Lepisosteus oculatus: one gene and its partners. The protein of the gene in region 1 purifies or fractionates together with the protein of each later gene. This does not show direct contact. Links are inferred from orthologs where the notes say so. Each region holds a gene or a part of one and is shown on either strand. Other genes may lie near its edges. The genes, in order: suv39h1b, mecom and histone-lysine N-methyltransferase EHMT1-like.

Region 1 (7,670 bases):
GCCCCTGAGCAAGGCCCTTCACCCCAGCTGCTCCAGGAGCACCCTGCGCTCTGACCCCCAGGTTTTGGTTGGGTCCCCACCTACATGCAGAGAGCTGTGGAAATGTTTGGGATGGAAATCACTGCATGCATGTGAGGAATCATTATTATCGTATTCTACTTCAATGTGACCCCCCTGAATCAGCTTCTTATTTCACAGATCAATCATCGGTTGAGCATGCTCTGCACTAGTGGCACGAGAGGGAGAGCACCACCATGGTGCATATAATCTACTATTTAAGTTAACCAAATCTTCACAATCAGTGCCAAAACACCTACCTATCAACCTTCTTTTTGGAGGGGAGTGTCCTGCATCATAACCTGTAACTGGGGAACAAATTCAGAATTATTAGTAAGATATGCAGCAGTTTGACACCTTAAAATTCTCAAAGCAGTATTTACATGACTGAAGGATTAATCACAGAGGAAATAAATACGGGAGAGGAAAATAAGTCCTGCTGAGCATCATATTAATACGGAAACAACAGTGGGTTATACAAACACATTATAAGTCTGGAACTATATTAACATCTGTTTTCCCTCTGACTCGTGTATTCAAAAAGGCGTGAAGCCCGGAACAGCTACACCCCGCCGGTATTAAAACAGCAGCTTGATCTGGGGCTGTCTCTGCCTGCGGGAGGGAGCTGAGACCCCTTGTTCACAGCGAGAGCAGGGATCAGAGACAGGGGTGCTGACCTCGTGCTCTCAGTGTGCACTCACATGTGAAACCAGCAGAAAAGCTGCTTATGTTTCACCACTGTCAGGTTCCCGTTGATACCGACTCTTCTGAGTTAGTGATAGAAAGTCATTCAGCACTGAGCCTGATTGGCAAACCACAGCTCCAAAGAAACCCCTCTCTCTCATTCTCTCACAAGACTAGAGGAGGAAAGACACGCGGTTTTGAAGCTACTTTTTTGTTATTCATCAGTAGCTGTTAGTGACTCAATTTCCAGGAAATAGTGAGAGGAGGCAGCATTGGTGGTGTCTGATTTTGGAATTATTTTTCCATTTGTCCTAAAAAGGATTCGTTTCAAGTCTTTTAATTTAAAAAATATCCCCTTATTCCTTTTTCAGATAAACCTAAAATGACAATGTTGGCTCCTGATAATAATGAAAAAAACAGCAATGCTAATACTGGGTTCCTACTTGTGCAGGACATGTTGTGCTTTGAACAGCTGTTGCTCGGTTTAATCAATCTCTCAGTCAAAGTCCTTGTAGGACAGAGCCAGTGAGAAGGTTTCTCTCTGGCTGAGGAGCTGAAACAAGCCGGGCCAGCTGACCGCAGCAGGTTCGCAGGCCCCTCCTGTGAAGACCACCCTGACAGGGCTCACCCTTCTCCCATTCTGTCCGCAGGCTGTGTGCTGTGGAGGCGCAGTTGATGGACTTCAGGACATCCAGCGCCACCTCCACGGCCTGGGAGCTGAAACGCTCGGCCATGAGGTGAGCTGTGTCAGTGCGGTCAGCATTTTCCAGCTCCAACCAGGAGATCCTGTGCTCATCCTGCTTGCTGTAACGCAGCTCATGTCTGAAGCGCTTGAAGTCTTCTGTAGTGAGATCGGCGAGGTGGTGAGACAGGAGCTTAAACACAACCAGCCCTCTATCCAGCGTGAGAGAGTCCAGGCCTTCTGTTTAAAACATCAGACTCCTCTGCATCTGTCAAGCAAACACAGAGGGTCAAAATCCCGCCGCTGAAAAGTAATTAAAATAAAAGCAATTAAATTACTTCTTCTACAAGAATATGACAAATGTACTGCTACAAACTTTTCCACGGTGCTGCAGAAATACTGACAGAACATTGATTGTCTGTCACTTCACCCAATAAATGAAAATGATTTGTATTCCTGATATAAATGTTTCAAAAAAATAATGAAAAAAAAATAGAATACAAAATATAATTGCAGGAATATTTATACAGAAGAGATTGGCATTTCTGCTAGGATTTCTGTAGCAAAATGCAGTATGTAGCAAAAGAAAAATAATGTGTCAACACCTACATTTTATCTTGATGTTTCCTGTGAGGCGAATGTGTTGAAAGTAAATGACAATGTGAAACTTTTTCATGCATGTTAGATTTTCAATAATTCGTCCACTTTCTAATCTCTTCTTCCAATTCAGGGTTGAGGGGGAGCCAGAGTCTCTCCCAGCAATCCTATCCCACCAACGGCCACTGGGCTGGGTACATCCTGGACAGGATGCCAGTCCGTAGCAGAGCACTCACACCAGGGCCAGGTTTCCCAGAAGCCAATTAACCCACCCGTATGTCTCTGGGCTGTGGGAGGAAACCGGAGCACCTGGAGGAAACCCACAAGAACATGGGCTGGGGGAGAACATACAAACTCCACACCAACAGCAATGCAAGCCCAGAATTAAAATCAGGGCCACAGCACTGCAAGGCTGCAATGCTCACCACTGCACCACTGTGCTGCCCTAAAATCATCTATTGATCAAAATGATTACTCTCCTTTGGGGATATGACCACATTTTTACCCATTAACCATCACAGACACAAGAATTGTAGACAGACAAAACCGGCAATTGATTCCATTTTCTGAAAATGTAGAACCAAGCCTGTAGAAGAAAATGATTTAAAAAAAATCTGATACCCTGAGGCAAAAGAGGTCGCTGTGTTTCTTGGTAAAGCTTGTAAGTAGATCGGTCTCACCTCAGCTGTGCGCAGTGCTCCTGGTTGTTGTCTGTCTTCCTCGCGCCTGCGATGCTGTTTCTGACTGTTTCACACATCAGACACATCCAGCCTCAGCCTGGCCCCTGGCCCCTGGCCCCTGGCCGTGCCACCAGTCAGCCAGGCACACGCCATACCCCTCTGTCAGCAAGGGAACGAGGCTGCGAAAGGCTTCTACAGAGGTTAGAAAAACAAGCTACTTGGAATCCACCTGCAAAAGCAACTAAAAGAGGACAAAACAAGACTTCGCTTACCTTCTGCTGGGCTGAGCCAGCGATGGTGCGAATCGAAACTGTTTTGCTTTGGAGGTTCAGCACCAGTGCTTATCTCTGCCTAGTGCAGGAAGTGGTTGGCACGTGTAGCAGACTTTATGAAAGATTTCAAGAGGTCTCACTGAAGGCGACGATGCTCTTCTTGTGATCCACTTCCTGGGCCTCCGCCCGACTGATCCGCTGTCTGGAGGTGTCCGGACTCGTGTGACCCCGAGCAGGACTGCAGCTGCAGCAGTGGCCATCCTTCACATCCTTCCTATGGCATCCCACCTGGTAAAGCTGCAAAATGATGCATAAATACACTAAACCGAGGGGGTTTCTCGAAATGGGTAGGGCTGTTACCCCAGTGTCCTGGACAAATTCCCTCCTAGCCTTTCCCAATCATGGCCTCCTAATAAGCCCCATCTCCGAACTGGCTTCATCACTCTGCTCTCCTCCCCACTGAGAGCTGGGGTGAGGTGAGAGCACTGGTGCACTATGGCTGCCGTCACTATTAAAAACACTATTAAATTTCTCCTGGACTCGGAGAAATCGAGGTGGGGAGAGAGCACGAGGGAGCCGTGTTGTTCTGGACTGCCAGGACCGGAGACGATGCCTGAGAATCACCGAAGGAACTACACAGAGGACAGAACAGCTGGACTGCAGTGTCTGGGGACTTTTGTTGGGTGACTGAGGTGTAAATTGTGTGCTTGCCTCTGGTCTGCCTCCTCCCACCCCCATCACGCTATGGTTTTGTACAATGTGCTGTGAGAGTTGTTGTGATCACTAGGAAATGAAGTGCCTGTTGCTGGTCTGTGTGTATTCGCTGGGGATTCTGGGAGACGAGCAGGACTTGTGGCAGGAGAAGGGTCTTAGCACCCTTTAGAATTGTTAGGTGGCATAGTCGTCTACAAAGCAAAAGTAAATCCTATAGGAGTCACCCAATCCGTGACACGACTTTGAAACAACCCACATAAAACTGAAACAATCTCTTTGATTCCTATTAGGTATGTGTTTGGTAAACTGAGCGGGGTGACCAACGCTACGTGTATCTCACACACGTTTAAGGAAACCGAAACCTTTACTGCTTTCAGTGCTTTGCGGCCAACGCCAACACGAAACTCACACAGGAAATCGGCTCCGGACACACAGAGGTGTCACTGACGGTGCAGGACAGAAGTTTTATTAACGGTGAAAAGTGATGAGATATGTGAGCACACAGAATATGTGTCGAGCTGGAGGTATTGGTTTTCGCTCACATTAATCTTCCAATGATAAATGGCAAATGTAAGAGAATACCTAGTTAAGTAAAAAGCCATTATTTACGCTATGCGGTCTAACTGACAGACACCGTAGGGCATCCCAAATGGTTAAAAATAGAAACATTAGCGAGCCTTGTATGACAATTGATAAACACGACTCGGCGCAGCTCAGTAACATTCTTTCCATAAAACCGGAAGCGCGCTGCTGATTTGAAACCAACCACCAGACCCACAACTCAGCGCGATCCCCGTCCCTGGGCATGCGTGCCCCTGGCCAATCACGGCGCTCGCTCGCCGCCCTGTCCCCTCCCCCCGCCTGACGGCGATTGCTCGATGTGGACGCCACTCACGCCCGCGCCGGCCAATCGCTGGGGGCGGTGTGCTTAAATCCCTGACCGTTAACCCCGGCGCAGCGGCGATCTCCCGCCTCTGCGGGCCTGGCCAATAGGAGGGCGGCTCGCGAGGGCGCTCGGCGGCGTGACTGGTGAGCGAGCGCTGCCTGCGGTCTCAGTCAAAAGACGCGGCTCAGTCAAAAGACTCGCTTTCCAATCGCTCCGGTCCGCTATCGCTTTTGCCCCTCTCTGGACGTGCCTAGGGGGGGGAGTGGTGGCGCTCATTGGCTGCGCCGGGTGTCATTTGTGGAGCGCTGTAGCCAGTCGGAGAGCCGTCCGCCGTGTGCGCCCCCTGCCCCTGCCTAAGCAGGCAGATTTTTGGCGGCGGGGAAGAAGATGGCGGAAAATTTGAAAGGTAAGAAAGTTTTCGCGTCGCCCCCTGCGCGAAAAAGGCGGCGGATGCTCGCCGCCGCTCGGCGGGGGCTCTCCGGGCCGGGCCGTGTACCCGGCGGGTCCTGTCGGGAGGGGCGGCCGGGCGGCGCTGCGCTCGCTCTGGGGGGGGGCAGGGGGGATCCGTTTAAACCCCCGGCCGGAGGGGCGCGAGCCGGGGGACCCCGGGGCCCTTCCGGGAACCCCCCCACCCCCGGCAGCCTGCCGTGCGGGGTGCCCCCCCTCCCCGGGTCCCCCATCGCGGTGGGGGGAGCAGTCGGTTGCCCGGGCAGGAGCTCTGCAGATGGCCGTCTGCGGTCCGGAGACGGTCCCGGTGGCTCCGACGCGCGTCCTCGCCTCTCTCCCCGGGCTGTGGGACCACACGGGGGTGCGCGGCGCTCGGCCGGTCCGTGGCGCCTCCGACCGCAGCAGAGGGCTGTGTCGTGCGGCAGCTCTCGGGGCTCGGTGTCGCCCGTGAAGCCGCGGGCGCCGGTGGGGTCTGTTAGGAAACGTCTCCCCGCTCCTGGCGACAAGAGCCCCAGCTGACTGGCTGCAGCACAGGGGGCACACGTATCCCTCACCGTGCCCGGACCCCACCGCTGTCCGCCGCATAACAGAGCGGGATAAGGCAGCTGAGACCTTCGGTTGCTCTTGAGTCTAACAGCAGTTTCTGACATTCCTGAATAAAATATTCAGCGGGGTAAAGCACACCGCCACATTGCGTGGTAGAGTGTTCAGGTTCTCTCTCACTTTTTAAAATGGAAAAATAAGCTTGGTTGTCCGTGATCATCAGTGTTGCTAAGCATGAGATACTGGTGTGTGCGATTCGGCCCCGGTGCTTCCTTGGCGTCGGGTGCGGTGAGGCCAGTCGGTGACCGTGATGTGGGTGACGCAGGGGCGCAGGTCAGTGCTACTTATGCCTGGATTTGGCTTCTCTGTTGATGCTCAGGGCCGCCGTGTCTGCGCTGGCAATGAGAAAATAAGCGCAGTGGTTGATCGAAGGTGCTCGAGTCGTGCAGGCAGGAGAAATTATCTTCCCAGAGTTGTTGTGTGGCAGGGAAAGGCTCAGACTCGGCTCTCCTGATTTGAAGCCCTTGTTTTATCCCCCAGAATAAAAGCTCAGTGCTGTCTTGGTTGCTAGGGAAGGTTGCCTCGGCTGCAGACACAGTCCGAGTTTCAGGGGGCTTTAAGGAAGCTCTGACTAATCTTTCCGAGTATTTCTCACAACCTAAACTATAACTCTAGCGAGCAGATCACCCCTGTGTCTACAGTACCACACGGTGAGGAGTCTAAATTGTGTTTCTGATGAAGGTGAGTTTGCACCTACAGAGCATCACCGTCTGGAGTCCGGCAGCTGATTAGTCCCCGAGTGTTCCTTCCGCAGGTTTGTGGAAAATCGCTCTGCACTCGTTCAGACGTCCTGCCAGCTGTGAAGGGCACAGCGCAGAGGGCGGTGGTCTTGGGGCGCCCGGGGGAGGGCGTGACGAGCTGGAGGGGCGCGTGTGGTGCCCGGGGGCTGACCCGCTGTCCTTGCTCGTGCGCAGGGTGCCGCGTGGCGTGCAAGTCCTCGTGGAGCCAGCTGCAGACCCTGTGCCGGCTAGAGAGGGTGGCCTGCAAGGAGCTGGGCATCACCAAGAAGAACCTCAATGACTTCGAGGTGGAGTACCTGTGCGACTACAGGAAAACGAAGGTGAGTGCCCGCGCAGGGGGGTGGTGAGGCCTGGCTGGCGGTGGTCTGTCTCTGCCCTGGGCGCTGGCGGGTCGGGGTCATGACCCTCTCCAGCCCTTGCTGCGCTGGCACGGACGTGTGCACGGTCTCTCCCTCCTGCCTCCTGACACTGCCGTCCCAGCGGCCGGAGTTGGCTCTCGGCTGTCCGCTGCTCAGCCCTCAGAACCGCTCTGGGCTCGAGGCCCGGACGGGAGCAGCTGCACGCCTTTCTCTGAGGGTGGGGCCGTCGAGCAGACTGTCATTTATGTCTTAACAGCTGTCATTTGTTTTGGCTTTTTTTGTGCATTTTGTTTCCAAAGAATATTTGGTGTACTGTTCCCGCTCCACTCCAGATTTAACTGGGCAGCGGATTCCGGGCCCATGTGTCCCGGCAGCTGACAGGGAGCCAAACCCAGCCTCTGGAAGCAGAGCGGGAGCAGGGAATTGGGTGGGAGTGGGGGGGCTGTTTGCGCAGGCGCTGGTGATGGTGTCCAGTGGGGACAGCCTGTTAGATCCTTTAAACAGGAACAGCACTGTGGTCTCATTGGTGCCGTTTTATTTTTATTTTAGTCACCCAGGAACAGGACAGACATGCTCTCCCCGCAGTTTAATTTCTTGACGATGAGCTCGTTTATAAATTGTGAGCGGATGCACTGATCTGTGATTGCGACCGATTGGGGGGGGGAAACAAACCCCAATAAAATAAGGCGAACACTGTGAGGACCAGTTAATACTGCCTTCGTTTTTATGCCACGTCTACATGTTGGTAACAATGACACATCAAGTTTAATCCTTTGGCCTGTTTTCCACCACGTGTATGTTAAGATCCTGATGGACAACTTTGAAATGAGCAAAAAAAAAAAATTTTGACATGCCACCATCTGCCTGCTCTGAAGCACATTGAGAAATGCATTCAGAACTCGCTCAGAGCTCCAAGTATGTGCCCTTAGTGACAGTGGCCGATGTTATG
Region 2 (7,428 bases), on another chromosome or scaffold:
AAAAATTGAGAAAACACACCTCACTTCCCAATACTAATCAGACTTTTTGAAGGCTGGTTGTCTAGTTACCTTCTGGTTTTCAATGTCTTTGGTATATGGTTCTTCTGACGTTCTCGTGATTAATGATTATTCATAAATACCAATATCAGGATCAAGTTCGCATTCAGGGACAGTCAAGCAACGCATCTTCTGGTCTGTATGAATTGATTTGACCACGTGTTTAAGGTCCTGCCATATTGACCTAGGTGGGCTCAAAACTCCAGCTGATGTATAGCTGTTCTGTCTTACAATTCCCCTGACGCCTCGCAGAATTGATATAATATATGATACAGAACTGACCAGCACCCGTGTCCTTTATTTCTTAGTGTTTACGACTGCCCCTTTCGCTCATTTTAATAATGACTAATATTGACGCTTCAAAAGTTTTCATTAGTAGTGATTTTCTTTTCAAGGATATTGATCATGCCTGTGTAATCGTCGCAAAGGACGTAAAATTGGTTAGCATTCTTCTGGCAGTGCTCATACAATAATAAGCCATTTATTTTCTCAGATTGTTTTTTAAATTTGGATTTACCGTGACCAAATAATCTAAGAGTGTAGATGATAAAAAATATATTCACAGGTGAGAAACGAGTAGAAATCACAGCCATGTAAGAGTTACGTCTAATTGTGTTAATTACACTCTTAACTATATTTACAGATGAATTCTAGTGTAGCCATCTGCGCGTTGAGCTTTTGGAGTATTTATGCAGTTGAGTTTTTCTGATAGTGTGTGGGTTCATTCGTAACTCGAGGGAATTAAAACATTAACAATGTTGTGTTTTTTTAATTAATAAATTTTCATTTCATTTTTGCAGTTCGTTTTTTAGGGACCTGGCAGTTCAGTGCTACATTCAATATGAAGGAAAGAGGCGCCGAACACGGGGAACGCTAATGAACAAAAAATAAACTCAAATTGTGAACAGGCTCCAGATTCTGTTGCATAAGCACCTGTGTTACAGCAAAGTCTGTTGTATTTTCAATGTTCGCGATTAACGTATATGCCAAAAGGACATACAAATCTAAAACGGTGGTGGTGGAGGGGAGTCCCCATTACCTGTAAAGCGCTTTGAGTGGAGTGTCCAGAAAAAGCGCTATATAAGTGTAAGCAATTATTATTATTATTATTATTAAAACGAATATACGTAATATAAACACTTTAGAAAAATCCAGTGAAGTTTTTGAGCTTCAGTTCCACATCTTTCCACTCTGGGGCACTGTATACCAGCGCTTCCTCCGTTCACACTGCTTCTGCCCTTGTGACTCGCTTTCTCTATCTTGGATGTTGTCCTGTTTGACATATTTTACTAGCAACCATTTACAATAATTTATTTAGTTTTCTGTTGTTGTTATTATTAAGTAGTTTTATTACACATTTTAACATTTTTTTTTTCATTTGTGGCAAAGCCTAATAATTATTTGAAATCGCTCCAGGAGTTTTCGTTTAGGGCTCCCAACCCCAGCACAGCAAATAAATTTCATCCAGTGAAAACGCATTACATAAATAATGTGAATTTCATGTAGCTTAACAGAAGTAAAACGTTTTATTAAAATAAATTTCATCTGGTCGAACGAAAAAGGCTAATTCTCACAGCTTCTCCACGGGTGAACGCACTTAATTGCATTTATATATAATGTTTAAAGTGTCTATGATAAATTAACAGATACATCTCTCTGTTATACTTTTAAATAAATTACACTTGTAAAATCCTTATCTGCTTTATATATATACATGCTGCATATCTCTCGTTTTGCGTGATTTTTATAGCAGAAATTTTTGAAAAAGACATTTTGACAACATCATCATTATTAAAAGAAGTATGTGCGCGCGATGCTTTATGTATATATTTTTTTCTTCTCGGGCTCATCTTTTAATTTGTTTCTTCCCTGACTGTTGTAAAGTAGCTCGATGAAGCATTGATAAATATCCCCGTTGATCACTTGATTGATTACCTCTCGCAAAGGTCACACAGGCTCGCGGTAATTTCCTTTCGCCCGAGGCTCCCTTTTCACTTTTAGTCCGGCGCGACAGCTCCAACTATACAAATTGTGTTTTTATTTTAACCCCTAAACAACCTGCCGAATATAACAGAACGCACGCAAAATAACTCTACTGTCGGAGGAGAGAATGTCAGTCTTATCAGGCGCGAAGCAGCGCGGTAAAGCAAACGTTATCGTTCTAAAACAAAGTCTCTTGGGTACGAGTTTTCTTATTTTCCCTTTTGGATAGGATTAAAAAATTGAACTATATAGGACAAGCTATTAATTTAGCTATACTAGTCAGGGTCTTGAACCCAATTAATTTCTAATAATTACAGCCTACAGGGTTATACAGATCTGTCTGGTGCTTTCCAGTCATGCCATCTCAAACCACTGAGGTCAGCATATCATAATAAAGTATGTATTTTGAAAGTGGTCTCAAGAACAGTGAGTTATTGCAATGACTGAAAATTGTTTCCATTTAGGCTAGTTGAGCTGATTGCCTCAAGCTACAGCTGTAAGTCTAAATGAGGAGAAGTGTTTAATATAACGTCCGCCTTCTTTACTAAGAGAGTGTAATTTTTAACAGCACGGTTTAAGTAATTCATTTAGGGTAAACCGTGTTCTAACTGCATTACAATGATTAAATTAATCTTACTGTTATGGGCGCTGGAACTAAAAAGCATGATGTAAAGTTCACTGCACAAAGACAATACAAAAACAGAAACCCGATAAGGGTTTTTGATAAGTTCTGATGCCCATGCACTTGTTAAAGGACAATTTGTGGAAGCGCACATTTCCTGCTATTAATAATACCCTTCAATATTTTTTCTTCCTTTAAAATTTGTATTAGGCTACATAAGCACAAACGGTTTTTGCGGCTGGTAATTTTATTAACTTGGAACATAAGAAAAGCCGTGCCAGAGGTCGAGGCCAACGACAATAACAGAAATAATTACAGTTGTGAAATTAAAAGAAATTGCAAAACCGTGGACGAAAGAAAAACGGTTTTAGAAAACGTTCCCTTTGTCTTAAACATGTCAAGAAAATCCTTTAAAATACCTGATTTTATACTAACCAAGCATATTTTTATGAACCGTTCAGCTTCACGGGCGGAGGCAATATTGTTGTTTATTTCGTAAGATAACTTGGTTCAATGCGTGCAATACTAGTGTAATGTGGGGGATAATATTCTTAACTTTACGCTTTTGAAATGATGCATACATAGCTACGACAATGGTATAATTAAAACAGGCTGTATAGACTCGACACGTTAGCTAAAATGTACTGGAAAATCGAATATAACATTTGCATAAACTATCCTGAATGTGATAAGGTGTCGATATCAAGAGATCGGGTTTTAAAACCAAATTAATTGCTATAGATAGCATGCCATTTTGTATGTATCGATATGTATCACATTGCAATAGATTACACAGGGGAATTATTAAATGTTGGCGCGGAACTCCGACTGTAATAACCTTGAGACAAAGATTCGACTCTACAAATTGTAATCGTGTATCTCTTTAATGGCTGGACAATTATGAAATTCAATAACTGTCTTATAAAAAACTATTTTATAGTTATTTATTTCACAACAATGATGTGGAACAACGCTTGGCAAGGTATATGCTTTAAACAGTAAAATGATGTCCCTATGCAGTCTGCGAGCAAGAGGTACTTTCTTATACGGGCACTGAAGTAAGATAATTTGTTAGATAAGAAAATGCTAAATTTTAATAGGGTCCTGCAACGTTAACAAATCAAGGCTTTCACCGATCTGCACTGACCTGCAGTATCCCGTCTAAGACCATATCCATAGCTTACGCGATGAATCAAGAATTGCAACCATGAAAAGTTTTTAAAATATGATTTAACGTTAAACTAAAGACGTTAACGCTGGATAAACATTTCCTTCTTGAATTGGGAAGAGTTATTCACCCAAGTCAAAGCATTTAGGCACAGGCACGGTAAGACCCGCATTAACCTAAAGTGCTTAACTGAATGATAATTGTCACATTGATACGTACATGGCAGAGATTTTCAGATGACCCCCGAAAAATAGGGTTGGGGGTTAACGTTTTCATTCATTTTCGAATCTTCCTAATGCGATAAAGAATACGATTAAATCTGTTTAATGAAAACATTTTACAGTTTTAATTTCGCTTAATTTTGATTAATGTGGTTTAATTTAAGCATAAAGGTATGTACCGTAGCTGTTTGAGGGTAGTTTATTATAATTAATGTCTCTGATTCTCTGCAGAGGACGGTTTTCTCTCTGAGTCACTGAACTTTGAAGATCTGAAACGAAAGGCGATCTCTCCTCGATCGCCATCTGACAAGATCAGTAATATCAAGTGATAAATCGCTCCAAACTTTTTTGGCGGCGCCGGCAGTTTGGCTGTGCGCATGTGCGAAGGTGTCCGAACTGACAATGCTGGAGAGATAGCGAGTCTGGATTGAGAAACACAGAGAAAGGGACAGAGAAAAAAGAAAAAGGAGGAAAAGATCCAAGAAAAAATCAAACAAACCCACGCCGAAAGACTGGCATCATGAGGTCCAAAGGCAGGGCAAGGAAACTGGCCACAAGTAGGTGCAATATCCCTTTGTATGCGTTTTGCAAACTGCCATCTTGTACATGTGTATCTCTTATGTGATATCAATGCTTTCACATCTAAATATAGAAACAACCTGTATTCTTTACGTTAATGTCAGCAGGCACTGACCTGTCCTCTCAACGTACACAAGTTGTCGCCTTGCACAAGGAAAGGAGAGAAAGCATTTTGAAATGACTTTGCAACCGCTGGCTTTTGTGAATAGCGGTCCTCTGAGCACCACGAGCTTATATTAGCAAAATGAGTTGGGGAAAAAAGTTGAATAAATGCGAGAGGAACTTTACAGAGACCGAGCTGCGAGCACTTTTGCGTTGCATGTAGTGGGCGCTGTCGCTTAACTTGAGGTCCGGTTCCCTGGAACTCGCTGTTAAAAGCGCTAAGGTCCTGGTCACTTCAATTCGCAGCAGCACCTTTGAAAAGGCAGGTGGGCTTAAGCTAATAGCAGAAAACTAAGTTTCCGAAAAAGGAATCTGTGCATTTAAATGTTTACAGGTACTACATTGACGTAGCTGGCGGAGAACAAATATGTAGTATAGTTAAATCTTGTTCAGAGCAGGACAATGTGAAATCTCGGACTCGTTCGTAAGGCATGCGTATTCTAGAGACTATAAAAATACGGTGTTTGTAAACGAGTGGGGTTTGAACTGAAATAACATTAGATGATTATTTAAATAGGTTACGTTTCGTGGAATTTATGCGCAACAAGTGTGTTAGAGAAATTAACGCGATTGCGCTAAATGTAGCGTGCAAAGGATATTGCAATAGCTGCGCTGTGCTGTGAGCGAAAACCTTGGAAATATGTTTTTCTGTCGTGCAAAGGCTGTAGCAGCTTTAATCGCAGTATTTTCCTAGTGTTTTAATATTATGATATGGCTGTGAATTGTAAATCAAATCATTCGGACGTTTTCACCATGGAATCGTTATTATATATATGTTTTTTGTAAAAATATTGTATTCTGTCTATACTCTGAAGTGCAGCATTTCTTAACTATATTTAGCAGTTCTCTCTCACATTGTGGCAAAGTGTTTTTAAGGAATTCTCGAGTACTTTGTCGCTTTACGTTCAAACAAACTTGGTTTCCCGCGATCTAGATAAACAGAAAGTATTAATCGAAATTGTTCTCCTAATCAATAAATAACATTTCTGATGAAGGATGCGAGTTTTAATGCCCTACATATAGCTCTAAAAATCTCGATGACTTTATTAACTTTTCTTTTTAATTTTGAACAGTGTTAATTCTAATTTAAATCCATGTTCCCCCAAAACGGAGTGTTTTTCTTATATGCTTCAATTATCGAAAACCTGCGAAAAAAGTAGAGGTTTAATGTGCACCTCATGCTGCGGCTGTGAATGTCGTTTCCAGGACAGTTTTCTGTTTGTATGCTTTTATAATTCTTGGTAGCGCCGCTGAATTTAAGAAAGTTCAAAGACAGTACTGAACGGTTTATTGAATAACTTGAATTTTTTTTCCCAAATGAGGTTAAGATCAGATGTTGCAATAAAGGAAATCATTCCAAAACGTATAATTTTCGTGTTCTGAAATATCATTTCCTTTTTCCTTAAAAATACTACAGGTCAGACATATCGCAAACAGAACATGGGCCTGTCTTTGTGCGCTCTTTCCGTTTAATGAACTTGAAGCTGATGTGGTCATCCTAATATATTATTATTGTTGTTTTACTTTGTATGTTACGATATTAATGATCCTCCCGATTTAATCTAAAGATAATTGTTTTTTGGCGTGATGAAGAAAATAAATGTCAAATGATCGATACATAAATTGTATAATACAAATGTTGTCAACATTAAATAGAAGTTAAATCATTTTATATCTTGTGTTAAATTGGAAGTTTTTACAAATACTGAAAGTGACGAGCGTCGGATTGTTTAAACGACATACCTGAATAAGTATTTTTTACAACGTGTATATTTTAATTTTATTTAGTTTCCGGGGGGATTGTTTCCAGTACTTATTAAATTGCATAATTTAATTCCCAGGCAATATTATATTTTATATTTTGACAAAAAGAGGTAGAGTAAGCTCCTGAACAAGTGAAAATATACTTTTTCTGGGGGCTTCAACACAATTTAGAGTACTTAATTGTGAGATCTCAATTTGCAGAGATGCCTCCAGACCGCCCTATAACCTGAAGATAGCGCAGATCACAATAATTAAAAGGTAAATCGTAAGCAATTGACAGTTTAACACCCACTTAATCAATTAATGATGATCAACATATCCAGAATCCCAGGAGACTAAAACGCAACTATGTCTTTTTTTAAGTGGTGTAATACGACTGCTAATGATTTTTTTTTTCCTGCTACGTTGAAACTTTGCGGAGGAGAAAAGTTTTCCAAGTAGCACTGACGGTCATTCGACGTTAGAAGTATTGGCAAGTCCTTTATTTTCAAGTGGAGAATGTTGAATTCCTGTTGAAAGAATGAGAGTCACTTCTAAGAGGACAAGGGTATTCCGCGAAGATTCCTTAAGATGACTATTACATGAATATAAAATAATAATAAAACTGCATTCTAATTTAGATTTAATTCGCCATACGGCCATACTGTGAGCAATGTTTATGATAACATAAAAGTTCAAGCCTAATGAGACTGGCCGTGGGAAATCTGAATGAGAACACATCGATTTTAAAACAAAGTTGTTTTTTTCGCGTTTGGTGGTGGCGAGGGGAATAGGTGTAAGGACTCGATGTTCGAGGGGAGGTTGAAACAGACAAATACATTTGATTTCTTTTTATGGGACTGCGCAGAAGCTCTTGGTGAAGTGCCACTTCG
Region 3 (7,489 bases), on another chromosome or scaffold:
AGTGTTGAAAGTTAAGCTGTTGATTTTAACAAGTGTGCTTCAGAGTTTTAAGTGCTCAAGTTTTCAATAACATTTTATTTAAGGGGTCACTTGAAAGCCACAAATTGGTTGTGACACACAAGTGTTGTATAGCAGCTAGTTAGCTACCAGTTCACTTTTGTAACTAATTAATGTGTCCTACTGTAAGTGTTTTTCTAATAGTGTCCATATTAGGCATGGACCCCTCATAAACCAGCAGCCCCAAGCTGTAGGAACGTAACGGTGAGCCCTCAAAGTGACGTTAGTTTTTCCTTCTTCTTCATAGCGCAGATTTCACTTGCCCTTAAAAGATGATGACTGAAACAGGGGGAACTTTCTGAGTGTCTGTCTAAGGTGCATCCTGGAAGATCTGGGCACAAGGTGGGACTTCACTCTGGGCTTTTGCTGTTGATTAAATATTCCTGCCTGTAAGGAAGGTACCAGTGAATAATTCAGTTTTTACTGAATTACAGTACCAGTAGTTACCCTCCCGAAAACACAGATTGGTTCACGAAACTGGCTCTGTGAATGAATGTGCCTCACAGGAAAATGGGACGCAACTCCTTTGGTGCCTTTGGAAACCTAAGATGAGAGGTTTTGGTTATCTGGGAGCAAGGTCATGCCGGCCTCGGGGCATCGTCTGCCTCTTTTGTGCTGGGATTGTGGAGTTCTGGAACGGGACGATCCCAAGTTTCGGCTGGAGGGCAGGTCCGGTTTCTCGCTGGCCTGGCTTCGTGGCCCCTTGGAAAGATGAGCAGGAGGGGAGTGAGACAGAATGAGAGAAGGACTTGTACGCTGGGCATCGTAATGTCACCTGCCATGCTCGCTGAGAGGGGAACAAGTGGTCACTCTCCTAGTGGTCAGTGCGAGGACTGTTAGACGACCCCTAGTAAAACAAAAAAGATTGATTGTTCTGCTGGGTTGTGTAGCCGAGAAGGAAGGAAGAGCTTGGAATCCGTCCGTTTCCTGGGATCTCTTACCAGTGTGTCAAGGCTGCTGACAAGCTGGTTCAGGCGTTTCAGGAAAAATCCTGTGAGGCAGTAGTCATCCTGAGGAGCTCCTTTAGAGCTCTGCAGGGAAAGAATACAGATCATAGGAATGCTAGTGTAAGGCAACAGGAAGAGCTTTTAGGCCAGATGACACGTCTGTGGCCCTGGGTCAGATTTTACCAGCTGCTGGAGACTCCCAGTATTGGCCAGCTACTGGTGCAGTTTGATTTCATCCTTCCAAGTAGCTGATCTTTCGGCAGTCCCTGAATTCTATGAAGCCAGGAGCCCTGTGCTGGGCTGTTTTTGAGTTCGTGGAAGTTCCTTATGCAGGGCCTGCTGTTTTTTTCCCCACCAAAATACTGCATTCCTCAGCACAGGCAGTTATTCCTGCTTCAGCTGTAATAAATACCCCAGCCTGTCTTAGCTGGAGGAAGGGCTGAGGAACAGAGTGAGCCGGTGGGGATTATTGAAACCTTGTGTTCATAATGGCATTTATCTTCATTAGCCTTTGGAACGAGATTAATAGTCTTCTTCCATCTTCCTGCTCCCGAACGTTTCCCTTCTTTCTTCTTTGTGTTGCAAGAGCACGAGAGCGCTGACTCGCCAGGGGAGCCCAGCGGGCCTGTCGAGTCTTCACTCCTGTGCGTCGGGGCCAAAGTCTCTTCGGTGTGGTTGCCAGACAGTTCCGAATATTCCTTGTGGGAATGAGTCGTGGGCGCTGCGCGATCGCGCACAGGTTATGACTGTGTTTGTGACGACAAAATCTGGGAAAAACCCAAACGAAACCCCTGCAAGGACGGCAGTTGCTGAGAAGCAGCTGGCGAGGACTGGTCAGAAGGGGCTGGTGTGGCAAGTCCCTTTCTGTACAAACCGAATGGCAGCGTCCTCTTTCCCATCTGAAAGGGCCAGAAATAGACGTTTCAGGTCTGTTTTCACCCCGTGCGGAGTCTGTGTGGGACAGCACATAAAAATAGCACGGGAGTCAATGGAGATCCCCCCCCACCAGGACAGGAATAGAGACCCGTGTCAGACTGACCATGGGGCAGGAAATGCCTTTGACCAGCTGTGTTAGAGCTTTGGGCCGATTTCATTGGGTCTCGGCAGCTCAGTGGGGCCGGGCCCGGTCAGCACCGGGGGGGGGGAGACCTGGAACCCGACTCGGTGCCGTTGGTGGGCCAGTGTGTGTTGGTTCTCTCCTGTCCGGCGATGGAGGGCGCCGAGCTGTGGGCGGTCCTGCCCTGCCGAGGACACGAGATGAAATCGAGTTTCCTGACTAATTGGTCGTTAAGGACTCCAGTGCGCCGTTGCTCAGGGTAAAGGGGGCGTTGACACCTGGCATCCTGGTTAAATTCCTCCCTGTGCCTGAGCAATCTGGCTTCACTGAAGAAGATCCCTCCTCCCCCCACTACCACCACCACCACCTCTCGCCCCCAGTTCAACCAGTGAACCATTGCCTCCCTCCTCACCTCTGAGCTGCAGAATGACTACTCACTTCAGTGGAGAATTTCAATGATTCCCTCCTGTACGTGAAGAGCTTTCAGATCCCTGGGGATGATGAGTGCTATATATAGGGGATATATGATCACACATCTGTCTCCCTGCGTAGCAGGCTAGAGCAACCAGGAGCTGCTGCCTTAGAGTAAGCAGTTTGCACCCCTCCTCCTCCTCTCTGTTGCTCTCTATATCATACCGTACATGTGTATGTATATTTGTAGTGTTGTGTGACAATTACTGGTTGCTGGTGTAGGGATCCCTGTGTGTTGTTTCCACAGGTTCTGTTAAGAAGCCAGTCTGTACGATATTTGCTCAGTTAGCCTCTGGGGTCTGATGATGTATCTGGATGCTGCCGTAAATGACTGGCATGTGGGCTGGCTGCGTGTGAGGGTCTTTTCTTTGATTTTGTGTGTGGAAAGGTGCCGTCTGTGTTTACCAGACCAGATCGTCTGGAGGTGCTGGGAGGCTGATCTTCTGAAGGATAGTCCAGAGGTGTCAGTCCTGGAGTCATCCAGTTACATAGCAGTTTGATGAAAACACGGTGACCTCCAGTACAGTTGGGCTTCTTGGGAAGGCTGAGGTGAAGGGTTGGTTGTGGTTCATCCTAGTCTTTTCTTTCCTTCCTATTTCACCAGTCCAGACAGGTTTGAAATCCATCTCTCGATACATCGTGCTTCCCTACACCACTAGTGAAACGCATGCTTTGTGTTCCACTCCCTCAGTTGTGCAGCAGATAATATTTTTGAGTTAAGGATCGGAAGAGATCCTCCGGCAAAATAAATTAACAAGCAGACTGGAGTCTGCACCTCTTCCTTGTGCCGTCGGTTTTGAAATGCTGGGACACAGCTGAAAGGGGACTCTTTTTGAGACTCATAAAAATCTGGGAAGTGGCTGTTCCATTAAGGATAACTTAGATGGGCTAACCGAGCAGAAAAATGTTCCTGGCAGATTTCCAGTGTGTTCTGGCCATGGCTGTAGTCTTTGGGGTGTTTTACTACACTGCTCTAGTGATTTAGCTACACTGTAAGGCTACTTACTCTCGAGCCTCTGCCTGGCAAAATATCACCTATATAAATCTTCAAGCGCAGGAAAACAGTCTGACATTTTGAAACCGCTGCAGAGCAGTGTCTTCGAGGCCTCGAGCTGCTGTTTCTGCCACGGCTGGATTGAGCAGGAGGGCGGCGGGGGGGATTGCTCAAAAGATCACCCCCACCCCGGGCGTGCCCAGCGCTTTGACTCCTGACCGGCCCTGACCTTCACGAGCTCTCGAGCCGCGTGGATTCCGAAATCGAGTGTTCTTTATTCTCTTTCTCTCCCCCCCCCCCCCCATTAAAAGCCTTGCCATTCCTCCCTGCAGGAGGAGAAAGAGAAAACCCTCTCGTTTCTGCCCTGCATGGCACTCATGCTTCTCGCCTTAATGGCAAAAACGAGCGCCTGGAACCTATAAAGGGCGGGGGGCTGGGAGCGCAGACCGGTCAGGCTGTGGTCGTGCCGACACGCAAAGCAGAGCACGTGTCCTGTAGGAGCAGTCCTCTGGTCAGGCCGGCTGCTGTTGTCAGGAATGCACAGGAAAAGGATTGCATTTAAAGCACAAGGATCCCTTCCTCAAGCACGCTTGACCGGCGTCGCTTAGTAGTGCTTGTGTGCGCGCTGGCGCTGCCGGACAGCTCGGTTTTTGAGGCCCTGTCCTGCTGCTCTTGCAAGAGTCCGTGCCATGAAATGGCTGCTCTGTTTTTCCCCCTTCTCTACCGAGCAACAGCAGGGCTCCCACTGAGCATGCCCAGTGCTGTGTCAGAGATTCTACAGGCGAGGTGGGTCATGTGACCTGAGCGGGGCCTGTGCATGTGTAGGAAGCTGGGAGGAAGAGTGGAGATCCACACCGTCTCTCTCTCTCGGTTTCCCCCCCTCTCCATCCATGGAGATCCACAGCCTGCAGCAGGTACTGCCATGTTGCTGGATGGGTTTGTCTTAAAGAGCAGAGGAAGGATTTTTTGGAAGGACTCGTGTGTTTTTAATATATTTTTTTTTTCTGGCTTGCTTTCTGTGCGGTGATTGGCTCTACAGGTCTTGTTTTGATTTTTTAATTTTTCCCAGAGCCTGCTCTTGACTTCCTTTGTGATTTTGGTTCTTGAATCTACAGTGTTTTAAGATTAAACCTCCTGTTTTTCCCCCCCACCCCAGCCCCCACCATGTGAAGAGAGAGAATCCAGATGTAACTCGTTTTTTGTTAAGTGCTTGAGAAGCTGGACCTGCTGGTTGGAATGGTGAGACAGCAGGCCCGTCTGAGCAAGGAGGGTCCCCGGCTCAGGCCAGTGTCTGTGTCAGCAGGAGTCTAGTCAATGCCAAGGGACTGGGAAGACCTGAACTTGCTTTTCCAGCCTGAGTCTGAGTATTTCCTGGCGTTAAGAGGAGACAACTGCCTACATTTCTGTTAGTCTTCTTTCGATCTTGGATTTGCCTTTTGTTTCAGTAAGGACTTTTTAAATTCTCTTATTGCCTTCCACTAAAGTCTTCATTTGCTTCATCTAACGAAAGACGCCTGGCTCGATGTTCCTTTCAGCGCTTGCGGAATGATTTTAACCGCAGGCTGGGTCACGCTCTGTTTCAAAGCCTGTATGGTATATTTCTCAGCTCTACAGAAGAGAAATGGCGATGGTGGTTAGATCACGGCGTTTGCAGTCAGGAAAGGGTGTGGAATTTTTTTTTAATGTGAGCCAGGCTTAATGCTCCTGGCTGAATGCACAGGTAGAGCTGTGTAGCTGGAAAACGCTCAGGCCTGTGTGGTCTTCAGTGACGGCGCTGGAGGAGACATGTCAGAATTCACTTGAGTGCTCGGGCTCTCCTGCAGATTCCTGAGCACCAGACTGTGAGCTCGAAAAGGACCACAGTCATTATTCTTGCACCGCGGAGACTGACTGGGTTCCACACAGCCTGGTTGTTTGCATCTTTCGATTACAGAAACACCCTGTGGCTGGCTGGCTGGCTGGCTGGCTGTAGTGGGAAGTTCTCTGAGTGCTGCAGTATTTCATCTGGCTGTGTTAAACTCTTGAGGTGTCAGTATTTCGAAAAAAAAATTGATCTGTTAAGCGGCTATTGTCATCCTTAGGAGCTGTAAGCTTTGTTTTAAGATGCATTGCAAATTTAAGGAAATGAATACTACATGTGGAATTCCTTCAATCTGGTTTGAGAATACCAGTTTGGGTTCCCAGGAGTTTCTTGTGTGTTTTGCTGGTTTTTAGGCTGGATGAATGTTGGGTTTGCACATCTGCATTTTCTTCGCAGCTGGGCCTTGAGATCTGCCTTCACGGCTGCAACTGTTAGATCTTGGAGATTAGCTCCTGAAACGTCCTTTCTTCCTCTTTCTGTGCTTTGGCATCAAAGGTCTTGTTTCCAAGCAGGATCTCTGTTGGAGGGGCGAGCTGAATTACGAACAGCTGTATTTTCCTGAGGGCGTGGAAACAACTCTGAGGAAAGTCTTTTTTGAGATCTGCGCGGGGTGGAAATTCAGCTTGGTTCCTACCCAGATGGAAAATGGATTTTTAAAATAATTTTTTCCCTGTTAAACGCTCGTTTATTAAGACTCGGAGAGGGGAGGTTTCTGGATGTGTGTGCTGGGATGAGTATTGGTTGAGAGGTGAAGCACAGCAGTGTGTTGCTTGGGCGTTTGGCTGAGACGTTTGCCTGCCGACGGCTCGCAGCTCTTTAATGTATTCCTGTGCCTGTCAATTACTGGCGCTACGAAATGGCTGAAAGACAGCCTGCACTGAGCATGCTCCGGATCCTGGGAGCACTGTAGCGCACTCCACCTTTCAAGAGCTTGAGATTCTTGCGCGTTCTTGAGTGAACCGGTGCTTCTCGTGTGTGAACGAGCTGTAGACGCTTGTACTGGGGGCTGTGCCTCATCTCTAGCAAACAAACGAGCGTGAGATTGGACGTGTGACTGAAGTCTTTTGTGTTGCCGTTTTCCTCTAGCCTAACCTTCGCAAACTCGACCTCCCGTGTGCAGGGTTCCTGCCCTGCAGAGGGGGAAGTGAGCTGAGGGTCTTGCTGTAACACCAGACTGAAGGTCAACCAGTCAGTCAGTCATCCATCCAGAACGCAGGTCGGCACTTAATTACTCCCCCATGCTGTAAAGGTTCTGATTTCTGTGGCAGCTTTCACCTCTCCTCTCTGCAAAGAAGCAGCTAACTGCCGATCAGAGAGGGTCTGTCCGTCCTCCTCGGCACTCCACACGTGTTCCGACACCCTCGCTGGCCCTTGGGCTGTGACCTTTCTGACCTCGGAAAGCTGAGCCGGCGTGGCGGATCTCGCGGTCTCCGTGGGCAGCCAAGACGGGACGTGCCGCGGAAACGCAGCTGGGGGTGGGAATAACGTCTGCGATCGGCGCCTCGTCTCTGCCTGCGTGCTCCCGAACTTTCTCTCGGCTCATCAGCTGCAACAGCAGGGGAGCCTGGGCCATGAGGGTGTTGCGTACCTGGCTCTCTTTGTGGGGGGGCTTTCTTAGGCTGCTTTATCCTGGAGGCTTCAGGAAATAAGAGCTCGGAAGACTGGCGGTTCTGCTGAAGGAGGAGGCCAGGTCCCTCAGCCTTCCTTCATGACTCCTGACAGTTGCCGACTCAATATTGGGGCTTTAATGGTTTCTCTTTTCCAGTTAGAGCTGTAGACGGAAAGCAAACAAATATAGTTTTTTTTATAAGCCAGCTGTTAAGATTTCTCTCTCTGAAAAGTTTGTTTTGGGACACTGATCCTTTTGCGGTGATAAAGGATCGGCATGATACTGCCAACGGTTACTTTGATGTGGATTTGCCGTTCTGTAGATGCTTGTATGCCGAGACAGAATTATAATGCCCAGGAGTTATACCCAGGCGTGGACTGAGGAATCGGTGAGATTCACGTTCACGATTCGCATGCGGCAGGTGCTTCCGATTGGGGTGTGATGGTGTCGCCCCGGAAGGACAACGGCCTTGGTCTCGGAAGTGGTGAGCGAG

Evidence for each region.
Region 2: the proteins of suv39h1b (region 1) and mecom purify together in Homo sapiens (affinity purification with western blotting; 3 studies listed by BioGRID). This does not show direct contact. The link is inferred for Lepisosteus oculatus from reciprocal best matches to the Homo sapiens genes SUV39H1 and MECOM.
Region 3: the proteins of suv39h1b (region 1) and histone-lysine N-methyltransferase EHMT1-like purify together in Homo sapiens (co-immunoprecipitation; 3 studies listed by BioGRID and IntAct, with this or other methods). This does not show direct contact. The link is inferred for Lepisosteus oculatus from reciprocal best matches to the Homo sapiens genes SUV39H1 and EHMT1.

The regions. Positions count from the first base shown.
Region 1 is NC_090697.1:77,485,915-77,493,584, reverse strand, and holds the start of suv39h1b (histone-lysine N-methyltransferase SUV39H1), read left to right. Parts: upstream 1-4,645; 5' UTR 4,646-4,959; coding exon 4,960-4,978; intron 4,979-6,536; coding exon 6,537-6,682; intron 6,683-7,670. Other genes in the region: NACHT, LRR and PYD domains-containing protein 3-like, read right to left, coding at 318-365, 1,370-1,475. UniProt on the Homo sapiens protein: Histone methyltransferase that specifically trimethylates 'Lys-9' of histone H3 using monomethylated H3 'Lys-9' as substrate. Also weakly methylates histone H1 (in vitro).
Region 2 is NC_090708.1:20,672,557-20,679,984, forward strand, and holds the start of mecom (histone-lysine N-methyltransferase MECOM), read left to right. Parts: upstream 1-4,355; 5' UTR 4,356-4,571; coding exon 4,572-4,608; intron 4,609-7,428.
Region 3 is NC_090719.1:1,862,384-1,869,872, reverse strand, and holds the start of histone-lysine N-methyltransferase EHMT1-like, read left to right. Parts: upstream 1-4,401; 5' UTR 4,402-4,416; coding exon 4,417-4,440; intron 4,441-4,508; exon of another isoform or gene 4,509-4,970; intron 4,971-7,489. UniProt on the Homo sapiens protein: Histone methyltransferase that specifically mono- and dimethylates 'Lys-9' of histone H3 (H3K9me1 and H3K9me2, respectively) in euchromatin.